4 linked regions of the Drosophila melanogaster genome follow. The protein of the gene in region 1 interacts with the protein of each later gene in a pairwise test. Each region holds a gene or a part of one and is shown in the gene's direction. Other genes may lie near its edges.

The links.
Region 2: the proteins of CG14282 (region 1) and CG18294 interact in a two-hybrid assay, tested with the Drosophila melanogaster proteins (one large-scale study listed by BioGRID).
Region 3: the proteins of CG14282 (region 1) and Mlp60A interact in a two-hybrid assay, tested with the Drosophila melanogaster proteins (one large-scale study listed by BioGRID).
Region 4: the proteins of CG14282 (region 1) and CG14096 interact in a two-hybrid assay, tested with the Drosophila melanogaster proteins (one large-scale study listed by BioGRID).

What each region holds. Positions count from the first base shown.
Region 1 is NT_033777.3:19,175,203-19,178,490, forward strand, and holds CG14282 (uncharacterized protein), read left to right. Parts: upstream 1-1,797; 5' UTR 1,798-1,849; coding exon 1,850-2,731; 3' UTR 2,732-2,784; downstream 2,785-3,288. Other genes in the region: CG5555 (uncharacterized protein), read right to left, coding at 3,056-3,288.
Region 2 is NT_037436.4:19,474,449-19,477,547, reverse strand, and holds CG18294 (uncharacterized protein), read left to right. Parts: upstream 1-1,969; 5' UTR 1,970-2,023; coding exon 2,024-2,035; exon of another isoform or gene 2,036-2,090; coding exon 2,091-2,504; 3' UTR 2,505-2,531; downstream 2,532-3,099. Other genes in the region: CG32213 (uncharacterized protein), read right to left, coding at 1,210-1,587, 1,647-1,658.
Region 3 is NT_033778.4:24,072,786-24,078,723, forward strand, and holds Mlp60A (muscle LIM protein at 60A), read left to right. Parts: upstream 1-1,816; 5' UTR 1,817-2,284; intron 2,285-2,388; exon of another isoform or gene 2,389-2,413; 5' UTR 2,414-2,437; coding exon 2,438-2,552; intron 2,553-2,663; coding exon 2,664-2,823; coding exon of another isoform or gene 2,824-2,827; exon of another isoform or gene 2,828-3,169; intron 3,170-3,395; coding exon 3,396-3,498; intron 3,499-3,560; coding exon 3,561-3,657; intron 3,658-3,717; coding exon 3,718-3,814; intron 3,815-3,868; coding exon 3,869-4,165; intron 4,166-4,272; coding exon 4,273-4,593; intron 4,594-4,652; coding exon 4,653-4,923; 3' UTR 4,924-5,438; downstream 5,439-5,938. Other genes in the region: Gpat4 (Glycerol-3-phosphate acyltransferase 4), read left to right, coding at 1-176, 243-546; CG10339 (uncharacterized protein), read right to left, coding at 5,549-5,938. UniProt on the Drosophila melanogaster protein: Positive regulator of myogenesis.
Region 4 is NT_037436.4:19,466,019-19,468,724, reverse strand, and holds CG14096 (uncharacterized protein), read left to right. Parts: upstream 1-1,645; 5' UTR 1,646-1,695; coding exon 1,696-1,707; intron 1,708-1,762; coding exon 1,763-2,119; 3' UTR 2,120-2,158; downstream 2,159-2,706. Other genes in the region: CG32214 (uncharacterized protein), read right to left, coding at 916-1,254, 1,314-1,325.

The sequences.
Region 1 (3,288 bases):
TTGCATACGTGATCGAGGAGAAGGAGAAGGGTGCGTCTCGCAGGACGGGAGGGTCAAACATCATTTTTCATTTATCCTCCGCAAAAAAAGTAGAGGTAGAAACGAAAAAAATCGTTGTGCTTTCGAATAGAAAAATACGTAAATTATTTAAATACATTTTTTTCACGCCATTTTTCAGAGTCCTGCGCATTAGGAAGTCGAGCTGCGAGCTCTAAACAATCATCAGCATCCTTAGAGAACTGGGTCACTTTTCTATGCAAATGGGAAGAGGATAAGGAGGAGGGACCCACCCCGAGATCCGCGCTGCCATCCTGGCACATCCTTTTGATCGGTCGTCCTTTTCTTCACATCTGTGGTCCTTCGGTTATTTGTTTATCTCTCCTTTGCATACTCGGGCTTTGCATCCGCCCATTTGAAACGCCTTGGGCGAGTTTCTCAGTCAATATTTGCTCATTAGTCGCGTTCTATAATTCTAATTATTATAATTATTCCCCCCAATGGAAAATGAAAAATTGATCAAGCAGCTGCTTAAACCTAAAAGGGTTCGAAAACCTTTCGATTCATAAAGCATACAAATAGTTAAATGCATTTTTATTTTGCATTTTAAGACCAACTACTATACCAGTGGTTAAGTAATGATCTGATGTAAGCTAAAAATGACTGTTCCATTGTGCAACAGTTTAGTTGCGTTATGCATCAAATTTAAAACCCGTCGAAAATTCCATGCTCATCGCCGAAAATCAATCAAATTATACCCTTCACGGGTTAAACACAATAATATCCATGAAATTCTTAAAGAAACCGAAAAAATTATGCAAAATTTATTCAAACGCTGAAATCAAAATTTCGCAAGCTTCAATCATTGTTTTGTGTTTGTTGGGTTTTATTGGCGGCAAATTAATTAAGTTACTTAATTACAGGTACAAGACGGTCAAAGGTCGATTCCCGCTTACCTTTCGCAAGTTCTCCTCATCCGAAAACAGGTTGACTTGTGCCAAAACTTAATTTTCGAAAGCTTTTCGATTGTCCATTAGTGGGAGTTTTGCAAGTAGTTCCTTTCGGTATTCGCCAACGAGCATACCCTGTACGAAAATATAGTATCTACTTATATAACTGATACACACTAATCCTAGAGGGTATCAATAAATGCAGCATACCCTACCTTTCGTTTAGATAAATTTGCGTTAGAAGAGACATAATGATTGATCGTGTGCCAATTGTAGACGAACCAAAAGTGGAACCGTTTTTTAGAGAAATGGGAAGGGAGGGGCGGGGATTGTTGGGGGAGACCATTAGGAATTTTTTTTTATTTTTGCTGCCTTTTGTTCACTGCCAAATAAATTTCATTTTTATTTGCCTTCTTTATTTGTTTTTGTTGCTGTCGGTACGCAATTTAAGTGAATATTCGGTTTCTAGTCAAACCGGTTCGTATTGGACAGACTTTTTGGGAATTTGTAATTCAGCGTACTGATATATCTTATGTATGTATATTTGTAGATAAGAACCAATCAATTTGGCAGCGAGTAAGTAATTTTACATTTTATGCTGGACTTTTATTTCGCAAGAAAACTGTTATTCGGTTATTTAACTATATTCAAGCAAAGAAACAATCTAACAAAGAATTAAGATTCTGCTAAGCCAAGGCTTATAAATGCAATACAAAAATATTTAAATTAGCCCATATTGTAATATTTCAATACTGTATTAAGTTAAAGGGATTCTTTTCGTAGAATCCCAGTAAACTGATAGAAAATTCTACTAAAGATCAAAAGTAAAGATTCACACTGAAATATATATGCTACATACATCTATTTGTTGTGAAAATATTCTACCCAATTAATCCTTAAAAATGTTGGCCGGCTGCCCCGATGAGCTGCCCAATCCGCACAAGAACTGCCTGCACGAGATGCTCCAGGCGTTGATCTGCAACGACAACGATGTGAAGCGCTTGAACACGGAGCTAAGGAATCTGAATCTAGAGCTAAAGGCGGAGCTGGCCAAGATTAACAAGGCGAACCAGAAGTGCGGGCACGAGAAGAAGGGCAAGGTAGTTTGCGAGAGCACCGAGGATGTGACGAAATTCGCCCAGCGGATCAATAGCCTGGAAGAGGTGACAGCGCACTTCACCCAGCGTAGTGAGGAGATTCGAAAGAGGCGGGACAACATCATCATCTATGCCCGCCAGTGCCTGTATGCCTACAACGAGGAGAAGTGCAAGTTCAAGTCGTTCCACGAGAACACGGTGGACTACATAAAGCGGACGGCGACACTCTCCCAGGATGCGGAGGTTATCCGGGCATGCGGAAAGGAGGTGTGCGAGCTGCATAAGCGCTTCGTGCGTGAGGTGGCCAAGCTGAAGAGCTGCGAGGCGGAGCTGCTGCCCTTTTTCAAACTGCTCAAGGATTCCGATCCGAAGACCTACTGCGAGTGCTGCTGTTTCAAGGGATACGACTGGATGCCCAAGAGCAAGAATCTGGAGGCCGTGGATGCAATGGCTGGCGAGATCAAGGAACAGATGGGCGACGTACTGGTCAGGGCCTTCGCTCAACTGCACATTCATTCGCCGCAGGATCCACGCGCCTTTATTGCCGCCTATCTGATGAATCTTGATCGTAACGAGCAGGAAATGAAGGAGAAGCTCGTGATTTTCCAAGCAGATCCAGCAGTGCAACCCCAGGAGCTTTCGGATCCCACATTCAATTGCGAGGATATTTGTCCGAAGCCTGAATGATATCATTATTAATCCACGATTGTATTCGAATAATAACTTTAAATTGGCGAGCTAAGTACACAGAATTTATTGCCACCAGCGGAAAAATTTAAATGAAAAGCGGCTTTCTTCAAACATTTTATTAATTCAAAATAAACACGCAATACATTTTGGGACATATGGTTTTCTACGTAGTAGTAGTTATATTTAATCCTTAGGTTTTCGTTATACAAAGGAAATCACATATAGAGCTGTTATAAACCTTATATACTCGGTTTGCATAGCCATCTAAGATCGGGTAAACAATGCAGCTTGGATATAAAGACGGCGTACGGTGGCTATGATTTATTTCTTGCGACGATTACGGCGCCGGGTGTTGGGATCCGGTTCCTTCTCTGCAATGCCTGTAACGGTGCCACCCGCTATCTCGGTGTTGGCCAACTTTTGCTGATTGTCCAAAAAGAACATAATGTCGCGAAGCTGTTCCTTTAATTCGGTCACCTCGGCGTCGTGGGTTTGCTTGAACTCGTTGTACTGCTGTTCCAAGAGTTTGTATTTGCCGTGCCAGGAGCTCTGGT
Region 2 (3,099 bases), on another chromosome or scaffold:
AATTAGCTCTGAACGTACACGAAAATGATTGCTAGAAAATTTCCCAGCATTGATTAACAATTATTCCAATTATTCTTATTCTTATATTATAATTTTAACGACTGATGCATTTCTCAATCACAGCCATTTCTAAATCAATCGTCAAATCTAAACTAACTGCAAATTTTAAAAGTATTGTAGTGATTTAGAAAATATAGGTCTTTCGCTAAATGATTACCGAAATACTCGTGTTGCGTCTACGTTTCTGGAATCTCCCTGCTGCATTTTAACTTTTTAGCTTTTATAGCTTTCGAGATCACAGCATTCATAGGAACAGTCGGATACATAGTCGTGAAAACAGTGATTCTTATTAAAAGTATATATACAATACGGGCTCGAAAACTTTAGCTTCCTTTTACCCATTACGTACTTTTCAACGAATTTAGTATACATTTTTACTCTACTAGTTTGATATGCAAACTACAACATTTTACTAAAGTTTGGGCATTTAAGAAGTTACTAGAATATTACTTGTATATATCAGAAATTTCGGGCTTTCAAAATCCCCAGATCTTAGACGGTCAAAGATCCCAATGAATTTCTTTTTTGTAAGAAAGCACTTCCAATACAGCCTTTTATTGTAAAACTGTTTTTTTAATTTGATATACAGATAAAAATGTGGGCGTGGCAGTTTTGGGCTGTTTTAGGGCGTTAGAGTGGGCGTGGTAAAATGCTCTTTTGCAAATCGATAGCAATTAACTTGACTAATGGAAATATAAAAATATATAAAAACATTTTTAATAAGTGGGAGTGGCAGTTTTGGGCGTCTTGTGGGCGTTGCAACATGGGTCAAAAAACTTGCACTGCGTCTAAGTCTCTAGAAACTGTATTAATCTTAATCTTCTAGCATACGGACATGGTCAGATCCATTCGGCTACTGATCCTGATCAGGAATTTATATATTTTATATGGTCATAAACGCTTTCTTCAGGGAACTCAACTATAGCATTCTCTCTTGCTTTCATAGTTCCCGAGAATTCGACGTTCATCCGGCCGAACATGTGTTACGTACTTCCAAACGAATCTAGTATACCCTGTTATTCTACGAGTATCGTTTTTTTTTTTGCAAGTCCAAAAATCTAATACTTCAGCAATTTATGGGGTCATATAATCGATATAAGCGTTCATTTTTATTATATTTATCGTCCTAGATAATCACAGCATAAAAATTTAGATGAGAAATGGTGCAGGAGCAGCAGCGTAGCTCAGTGGTGCGGAGTAAGCCAAAGGCGAGGAGTAGGCCAGTCGTGCAGCCAGAGGAGTAGCCGCGTACTTCGCCACCACAGGAGCAGCCAGAGGAGTAGCCGCGTACTTCGCCACCACAGGAGCAGCCAGAGGAGCAGCAACGGGAGCAATCACAGGAGCAGAGGCGATTCCATTGTAATTCCTGGCGATAACCTGGCTACTGGTTGCGGTCACAACTGGAGCGGGAGCAGCTACCACGGCAGCAGGAGCAGAGTAAGCCAGAGGAGCAGTGTAAGCAAGGGGAGCACCCAGGAGTCCAGGCTTGGCAGCAGCGCAGGCAACGAGAGCGAGAACGACGACAGCCTGTGAACAAATAAACTTGATTAGTTTAATCCTTTGGGTGTCCTTTCTGAAGAACGTACGTATTTGAACATGGTGAAATATTTGTTTGGTTTGCTTCTTCGGAAGGCTAGAAACTCTTTGATATCCCACTGCTCTTCGTGGAGCATATTTATACCCGAATGTTTGCTCAGATCTGACTCATGATCGCACTCATTCAGTTCATTTAAATGCGGTGACAGTCTCCCGTTACCATTTACCATTTGCACTGTGCCGTAGTTTATGTGATTTCCCACTGCTGACTGCAGAATGTGGAATAACTCTTGGTGGCCACGGAATGCGATGGCCTGAGGTCACAGACGCAGTCCCGATGCGGCGTATAAATAGTGGTATGGAATGTGTTGGACGACATCAGACAAGTTCAAGTTTTCGAACCGTAAGCACCAGATCCATAATCATAATGTTCAAATCCGTAAGTTTGGAATCTTAGCTTCCTGCCATATTTACTCATCGCATTTTATTGACAGGCCGTTGTTATTCTGGCTATCGTTGCCTGCGCTGCTGCCAAGCCTGGACTTCTGGGTGCTCCCCTTGCTTACACTGCTCCTCTGGCTTACTCTGCTCCTCTGGCTTACTCAGCTCCTGCTGCCGTGGTAGCTGCTCCCGCTCCAGTTGTGACCGCCACCAGTAGCCAGGTTATCGCCAGGAACTACAATGGAATCGCCGCTGCTCCTGTGATTGCTCCCGTTGCCGCTCCTGTGGTGGCCAAGTACGCTGCTGCTCCATTGGCCGCTCCTGTGGTGGCCAAGTACGCTGCTGCTCCATTGGCTGCTCCTGTTGTGGCCAAGTACGCTGCTGCTCCATTGGCCCACATTTCCTCCTTGGCTTACACCTCGCCTTTGGCATACAGTGCCTTGCCATCAGCTCCTGTTCTTCTTTAGAAAACTTTAAAAGTAATAAAAAAAATCAAACGAACTCCAATTTCTCCCATTTTTTGGGGCTTCGCTAATTGGATTTACCGCTGGCATACTAAAGCGTCGAAATCGACAACCTACTGATGGGGGGCATTTGAAAATTTCGAACGCAGGTCACGTAATGGTCATAAAAATTATTGTCAGCTCAGCGGCAGTTGCTGCTGTCCAATGTTTGTTACATTAAATTGTGCGAAATTGATTTGTATTATAGGTTTATTTTATTTTTCGGCTTTGAGTACAGACCTTGGCAATTATGTCAAGGTCAAAGCTGACCTGTGACCGATATGAGCCACAGATTTGGCACAATCAACCTGTCTTAGAACCGATGGCCCAATTTGCGTTTGGTTGCCTATTTACAGAATATCCGTGTCTTTAAAAAGGTTTTTATTGCGATTGCGGAATATATGTTTTAAATATATGTTAAATATATGTTATTGCCCCAGAGTAAAATCGGTATATGTACTATATTCAAGGAAAAGTGGGTGAAAGGTAGAAGGAATAGTTTCCGACCCCAGATTTGTAGCGCTTGAGGCAGCTAAAGTTGGTGACAGTGCCTTCTAGG
Region 3 (5,938 bases), on another chromosome or scaffold:
GGCGAGGCCAAGGATCGTCATTTGGTGGCCGAGCGACTGAAGCAGCACGTGTCTGATCCGAACAACCCACCGATCCTTATCTTCCCGGAGGGAACTTGCATCAACAACACGTCGGTCATGCAGTTCAAGAAGGGCAGCTTCGAAGTTGGCGGCGTCATCTACCCGGTGGCCATTAAGTGAGTAGTGAATAGTTTTTCGCGGCGAAACCATTTCTCATCCGTGGGGTCTCTTTTGGCTTGAAGGTACGATCCGAGGTTCGGCGACGCCTTCTGGAACAGCGCGAAGTACTCGATGATGCAGTATCTGTACATGATGATGACCTCGTGGGCCATCGTGTGCGATGTGTGGTACCTGCCGCCGATGTACAGGCAGGAGGGAGAGTCGGCGATCGACTTCGCGAACCGCGTGAAGAGTGTCATCGCGAAGCAGGGAGGTTTGATTGATCTGGTCTGGGACGGGCAGCTGAAGCGCATGAAGCCAAAGAAGGAGTGGAGGGAGATCCAGCAAGTCGAGTTTGCCAATCGGCTGAAGTCGGACTCCACCTAAATTACCATATTACCATACAGTGACTGTAAATGATATACATACATGATTTTGCATAATTTGTATTGCAGCGACTGTAATTTGTATAAATTACGATTAACAATTGGATGGTTAAATAAAAGATGAAGTCAAATGTACAATTATAATAATTATTTGTATATTAATTAATTTATCTACTTTGTAAAATAAACGATATCTGATAAGCTGATTATCATAACATCTGGACCCGATCGCTGTAAATTCATTTCTTTGTCATGCAAAACGCCAGCCACACTCTGGCGAAGAATGGGCTCGAAGGTGAGGCCTCTTTGTTGGATGGAGCGAGACCAGGTCAGCAACCTATGGATGTTGATTTTTGGCCACCTGCATATCATGCATAGTTAAGCGGAGCCAAATGAAGCCAACAAGATGGCGAATAACTAGATTACATATTCATAATTATGCGGCTAATAATAAATACGAGTGGCTGACTCAGCGCTGCGCCAAATGTCTATTTTGCACTAATTGTCCACCCATACAGGTAATTAAGACATACATACTTCCGTGTTCCGAGTTGGAGGCGATCGGTCGATCGAGTGGTTAATTCCCGACATTCTTGGCGATGAACTAACCCTGAACTGTCGCCAAAAATAATGGTGGTATCGGATCGGATCGGCACGCGGATAAACAATGCTGGCAAAGCAAACCACATTGTCAGATTTGTCGAGTCAATGGGCCTGGCCTTCATAAATTGTTAGGCTCATTGCCAATCGCAAGTGAGCGATTTACAATTAACAAATACCCAGAGCCCCTCTATTTATAGATATGTTTATACATGGGCATCGCAGGCGCTGATGAAAAGATGCTTCACTCCATCCACATACACATCCACATCCACATCCATATTCATATTCATATCCATGTGCATATTCGTTTGGCCCCCCAATTGAAACACTTGTGGCTGGCCACTCGATCCACTCTCCAAAAACGCTCTTTCGAAAACTGGAACCTATTTTCGAACACTTTATGGCATGTAAATCCGATTCCGATTCCAAATCCGATTCCAATTCCGATCGAGCGATCAATGCGTAATGGGTTTATTTATGGATCTGGGTTGAGCAGTTATGAGCTATTTTCGAATTTCTAAGTTTAAAATAAGGCCATGAATGTACTTTGATACACATCGCATGGGTGTGCATATATTTTTAGACTACAAACATACATATTTACATCTGCGCGGATTTTGGTGTGCGTGTCGAAAGCTAATAAATTAATTGTTGCGTAAAATCAGATTACATATGGGTTAGTTGGTTGGATGGATGGTTGGTTGGTTAGTTGGTTGGTTATACGGGTAGAACCTTCGTGAGAAACAGCCCATTATATATTTCGATTTTTCCCCAAAAATCTTGCATGCCTCGCACTTGAGAGTGCAGTAGAACAAAACAAATTACTTCAAGACGAGGCAAATTCCTTCCCAGTGGGTGAAGATATAGTAATCCAAGTTAGTCTAACTGGTCTGTTACCAGCCCAGGAATGAGACATCGGGGCGTGGATATAGCCGAGAGTACACATACATAGAGCCGTGGGCATTGCATGATAAATAAATGATATATTCAGAAAGTGCTGTTTTTATTACGCAAACTGTATTTTCTTAGTTGTGCCGTGTGCATCCACAAATATAGACTACCTGTGTACAGAATCTTTCCAGTCTAGTCCGCGGCATTTCCGACGAATAGGAACTACTTCACAGAGTACCTCCGAGGTATATATCCTTAGGATTATATATATATATATATACATATATATATGTGTGTATATAATTGAATCGCGCTGATCCACCACACGCATAGCCGCTGCAGTTTGCCATAATCACAGTTTTTTGCCCCCGCAGACACACACACGCACTCAGATCAAAATGCCTTTCGTTCCCGTTGAAACCCCCAAGTGCCCCGCGTGCGGCAAGTCGGTCTACGCTGCCGAGGAGCGCGTTGCCGGAGGCTACAAATTCCACAAGACCTGCTTCAAGTGCAGTAAGTATAAATGTCCTGCCAGCCAGATCGTCTGGACTTGGTCCTTCGAGTCGGATGTCGGATAGCTAACGCAAAACCCTACCCCCCTCCCCCTCCACTCGCCCGTTTCAGGCATGTGCAACAAGGCCCTGGACTCGACCAACTGCACGGAGCACGAGAAGGAGCTTTTCTGCAAAAACTGCCATGGTCGCAAATACGGTCCCAAGGGATACGGTTTCGGTGGTGGTGCCGGCTGCCTGTCCACGGACACTGGCGCCCACTTAAACAGAGAGTAAGGACTAAATAAGAAATATGTTTTGTATGAAAATTGTGTAAAATTCCTTGAATTAAATGTGTAGTTTTGCTTTCTATTAGAACCTGTATGTTTTCAATGTTTTCCACACGCCCACCCCCAAAAAAGCAACCGAAAAATTTGTTTTTAACTTTCCGGGCAGAAACCGCCAGGGATATCCAGTTTCTGATTCCCTGGAAAATTCCACTAACACTAACCGATTGTTAATGTTAAACTAGCAAACACATTGTGGTCTTTGGTGAAATAATTCTTGTATCTTTGTTTACAACGTCCGCGGACTGTAAATTGATAAAATAAATGTACAATAAAACAAAGTAGTTGTAAGCTTATTCACATGTTATTTATAGGTTTCTATTCGCATCTCCCTCGCTGCTGTCTATGTGGATTTCGTGTATTTCCCCAATTCGTTTTTTGTTCGGGCACAACGACCGACCTTTCTGACTTTTGTTCCTCGTCTTGTGTGTGACTAAGATGAAACAACCCCCCCCCCCCCCCACATTGGATGTCCACCGAGAGCGCCGTAATTGAGGGAGGCATTTGAATCTTTCTAGATTCGTTCCGCCCAAGATTCCCCCAAAAGCACCCGACGGGCTGGGCTGCCCACGGTGTGGCATATATGTGTATGCCGCCGAGCAGATGCTGGCCAGAGGAAAGGTGAACTATTGAAACGATCTCGGTCCGTCGGCCCTTGTCTTAGGTGGTGTTCTTTATCGCAGGGTTACCATCGAAGGTGCTTTAAGTGCGTGCAATGCAACAAGACTCTAGACTCAACTCTTCACTGTGATGGTCCGGACAAGGACATTTACTGTAGAGGTACATTTCCAACCCATAGATTTTAGAGAATTAGGATCTCTAGAAGCATTCGCTTTTCAGGATGTTATGCTCAGAAGTTTGGGGCCAGGGGTTACGGGCACATCGGCATTTCGTCCTTGGGGTTGATGTCCGACATCAGGGATAGCGAGTGGCAAAGGTGAGATTAGTAGTAACACCAATTCTGGCTAGGTTATTATGTTGGTGCTTGCAGCGACATGGCTCCCAAAGCCTCCATCATAAATGTGGAGCAAATCCAGGCGCCAATCGGAGAAGGATGCCCACGTTGTGGCGGCGTAGTATTCGCCGCGGAACAAGTTCTCTCCAAGGGAAGGAGCTGGCACCGGAAGTGCTTCAAGTGTCGGGACTGCACCAAAACTCTGGACTCCATTATCGCGTGCGATGGTCCGGACAATGAGGTCTACTGCAAGACTTGCTATGGCAAGAAGTGGGGACCCCATGGCTACGGATTCGCCTGTGGATCCAGTTTCCTGCAAACCGACGGCATTACGTGAGTGGTTTCCATTCCAAGGCTCATCTTGAATTTGGATAAAACAAGCTTTCAATCATATTCGTCAAAATCCAATCCATAATTTGACTGAAAGAGATTTGTTACAGTGAGGAGAACTTGGCATCCGAACGACCCTTTGTGGCTCCGGACACCACTTCGATCATGGCTCCGGACGGCGAGGGATGTCCCCGATGTGGCGGAGCGGTCTTTGCGGCCGAGCTGCAGCTGTCCAAGGGGAAGATGTACCACAGGAAGTGCTTCAACTGCGCCAGGTGCACCCGACCCCTGGACTCGGTGCTCGCCTGTGACGGACCGGATGACAATATCTATTGCAAGCTCTGCTACGCGAAGCTCTTTGGCCCCAAAGGCGTCGGGTACGGACACACGCCCACCCTGGTGTCCACCAACTACGAGTACACGCCCAGCTGGTAAGTCCGTTGTCCAGTTCAAAGAGAGTTCGTCTGGATCCAAGGATCTCTTCTTCCAGCTGGGGAACCATCGATCGCAACGGACAAAAGTCGGAGAACGGGTGTCCGCGATGCGGATTCATGGTCTTCGCCGCGGAACAGGTGAAGAGCGCGAAGAACGTGTGGCACAAGCTCTGTTTCTACTGCATGGAGTGCCGGAAATACCTGGACTCGACCAATCTGAACGACGGACCCGATGGCGGCATCTATTGCCGATCGTGCTACGCCAAGTTCTATGGGCCAAAGGGTGTGGGCTACGGAATCGGAGCTGGCACACTGACAATGGCTTAACAACTCGACCAAAAAAGCGCGTTCAAGAACTAATCCCACCAGCATGGAATAAGCTCCAAGATTCGTGCTGGGGATTTCAGTCCTTGAGCGCCCACATTTTTGAGGATGACGAATAGGTGTAGTATTGCAATTCCACAAGAGTGTACTTTTAGCTCCAAGACAACGACATTTAGTTATGAAAGTATAGAAGGCGAATGAGTTGGCGGTGGTTAGTATAGAAATTGTATAAGTCTCGAACATAAGTACCGAAAAATGCATTCTAACCTTCGACTTGAACTTCATCGTAAAACCTGCGAAAACGAATTTCCAAACCTTGTTTATCGAGGATGCCCAAGAATCCAAAGGATTGGTGTGCAAATGCAAATGCACACCATTTTCAATCGATACCGCCATTCGAAATCCTTTGAACTTCTGAGTTACTCCCTATGATATGATATACATATATGGCAGTCGTAGCAACAAATCAATATCCTATAAGTTTCGAACGACTAATAAACGACAAGTGGTAACTTTGTACATGTGGTTCTGTTGTTTTCAAATATTTATTATATAATAAGTAATAAGTAACGGTAGGACAGATTACTTGGAGAGGGTCAAAGCGTCATCTATTGCAGGAGCTCTTTATTCAAAATATATTAACGATAATGCTAAGGGTACATAGTATGGGAACGGAAGTGGCGATCACCAGGCCGCTGCCCGAGAACGTGGAGTTGCAGCAGTCGGCGGAGAAGACAAGGATCTTGGGGTACAGCGATCTCCAGAAGTTGATCCGCTGGTTGTTCAGCAGGTTGTCCGTGTTGAAGCTCTCGTCGATCAGAAGCACTGAATCGTTATTGGGGGTCATGGCGTTCCACTTCACGTACACGTTCGACTTCGTGGGGTTCGAGGTCTTGGCGAAGTTCGCCCACAGGGTCATGATGATGTCGGCGATCTTCTTGTCGGTCGACTTCCAGTCAACGGAGTTGGTCATGTAGGGATTGCCCCACACGAAGATCTGGTCGAAGTACTTGGGCAC
Region 4 (2,706 bases), on another chromosome or scaffold:
CACTTATTAAAAATGTTTTTATATATTTTCACATTTGCATTAGTCAAGTTAATTGCTATCGATTTGCAAAAAAGCATTTTACCACGCCCACTCTAACGCCCTAAAACAGCCCAAAACTGCCACGCCCACATTTTTATCTGTATATCAAATTCTTTCGCCTGCAAAACGACAAAACGGTCACGCCCACACTTTTAACAATTTTAAATTTTTTCTCATTTTATTCCCAAATATCTATAGATATTCCAGAAAAATGAATAATTTTTTCGTTCGCATTCACACTAGCTGAGTAACGGGTATCTGATAGTCGGGGAACTCGTTTATAGCATTCTCTCTTTTTATTTTTTCTACCCAGAACACGCCCCTTGTAAAGCCCACAATCCGTCAATAAACTGATTCTCTCACACATTTGATAAATGTGTATGATAGATGTTGAAATTTCTCGTTCACAGTTCGACTAGCTAAGTAACGGGTATCTGATAGTAGGGGAACTGTACTATGACGTTCTCTCTTTTTTTTAGTTTATATGCGTTCGGTTTTAATAAAACATTAGTTTTACAATAAAAGGCCTTATTGGATTCTATAAAAATTATGTAAAACGTTGAATAAAGTGCTTTCGCACAAAAAGAAATTAAGTGGAATCTTTGACCGTCTAAGATCTGGGGATCTTAAAAGCTCGGAAGTTCGGATTTTTTGTAGTTAGATTCAACATATTATAGGGCTGTGATTAAGAAATGTTTCAGTCGTTGGGTGGCGCTAGTGTGCATTCTCGGAATAATTGTTCATAAATGCTGGGAAATTATCGAGGAATCATCTTCGTGCGTTTTTAAAGCGTATTTAAAAAATATACAATTGAATAACGTCTTATTATATCTCCATTTATTATCGTTGTCTCCGATGTGATCACAGCTTAGTAATTTAGATAAGGAGCGGTCCTGAAGCAGCGGCGTAGCTCAGTGGTGCGGAGTAAGCCAAAGGAGAGGAGTAGGCCAGTGGTGCAGCCAGAGGAGTAGCCGCGTACTTCGCCACCACAGGAGCAGCCAGAGGAGCAGCAACGGGAGCAATCACAGGAGCAGCGGCGATTCCATTGTAATTCCTGGCGATGACCTGGCTACTGGTTGCGGTCACAACTGGAGCGGGAGCAGCTACCACGGCAGCAGGAGCAGAGTAAGCCAGAGGAGCAGTGTAAGCAAGGGGAGCACCCAGGAGTCCAGGCTTGGCAGCAGCGCAGGCAACGAGAGCGAGAACGACGACAGCCTGTGAACAAATTAACTTGATTAGTTTAATCCTTTGGGTGTCCTTTCTGAAGAACGTACGTATTTGAACATGGTGAAATATTTGTTTGGTTTGCTTCTTCGGAAGGCTAGAAACTCTTTGATATCCCACTGCTCTTCGTGGAGCATATTTATACCCGAATGTTTGCTCAGATCTGACTCATGATCGCACGCATTTAAATGCGGTGACAGTCTCCCGTTACCATTTACCATTTACCATTTACCATTTGCACTTTGCCGTAGTTTATGTGATTTCCCACTGCTGACTGCAGAATGTGGAATAACTCTTAGTGGCCACGGAATGCGATGGCCTGAGGTCACAGACGCAGTCCCGATGCGGCGTATAAATAGTGGTATGGAATGTGTTGGACGACATCAGACAAGTTCAAGTTTTCGAACCGTAAGCACCAGATCCATAATCATAATGTTCAAATCCGTAAGTTTGGAATCTTAGCTTCCTGCCATATTTACTCATCGCATTTTATTGACAGGCCGTTGTTATTCTGGCTATCGTTGCCTGCGCTGCTGCCAAGCCTGGACTTCTGGGTGCTCCCCTTGCTTACACTGCTCCTCTGGCTTACTCTGCTCCTCTGGCTTACTCAGCTCCTGCTGCCGTGGTAGCTGCTCCCGCTCCAGTTGTGACCGCCACCAGTAGCCAGGTTATCGCCAGGAACTACAATGGAATCGCCGTTGCTCCTGTGATTGCTCCCGTTGCCGCTCCTGTGGTGGCCAAGTACACTGCTGCTCCTTTTGCCTACGCTTCTCCTTTGGCCTACTCCGCTCCTCTGGCTTACACTTCTCCATTGGCTTATAAAACTCTTCCGGCTGCTGCTCCAGTTCTTCTGTAAGAACGTCGACTGATCAATAAAAATACAAAAAAATGAGATAAATCAGTAGAAATTACTTCAATGGGCCAGTGGTACTGAGGACTACCGCACAATTTAAATTGAATTAGCCACTGACAGCTAGCCGTGCTCATAAACAACGGTAATGACTGGCCTCTGGAACTCCAACGCCTCGTTTGCGGATGCATATCACGTAGCCAGTGGACAAGTTATTGGCCACCGGCAGCCGTCGCTGGATGCGTGATATTTAAAAGTGGCCAAAATGGTTTGTTTTGAAGTTGTTGGGCGACTGAAATATGTAATTAAGTCAAGGTCGCGGAGCAGTCGAGGTCGGGCTAATGAACTTTCCAGTGCTAATTGAAAGAAATCAAGGGCTTAAAAAGTAATGACATTTTAATTTAACGGTACTAGGCAGTTAAGTATTAACACTCAGATGGTAGTTACGAACAAATTTTAAGCCATGGAAAAATAAGCCATTAGGCTGAAAGAAACAATCTTTTCTTGGTTGCTTATCAAATTCCAGGTAGGTGTTAAGATTTTACTCTATAATGTAGATATGTACTCAGTTTTTAAGTTTTAATGGAGTCCGA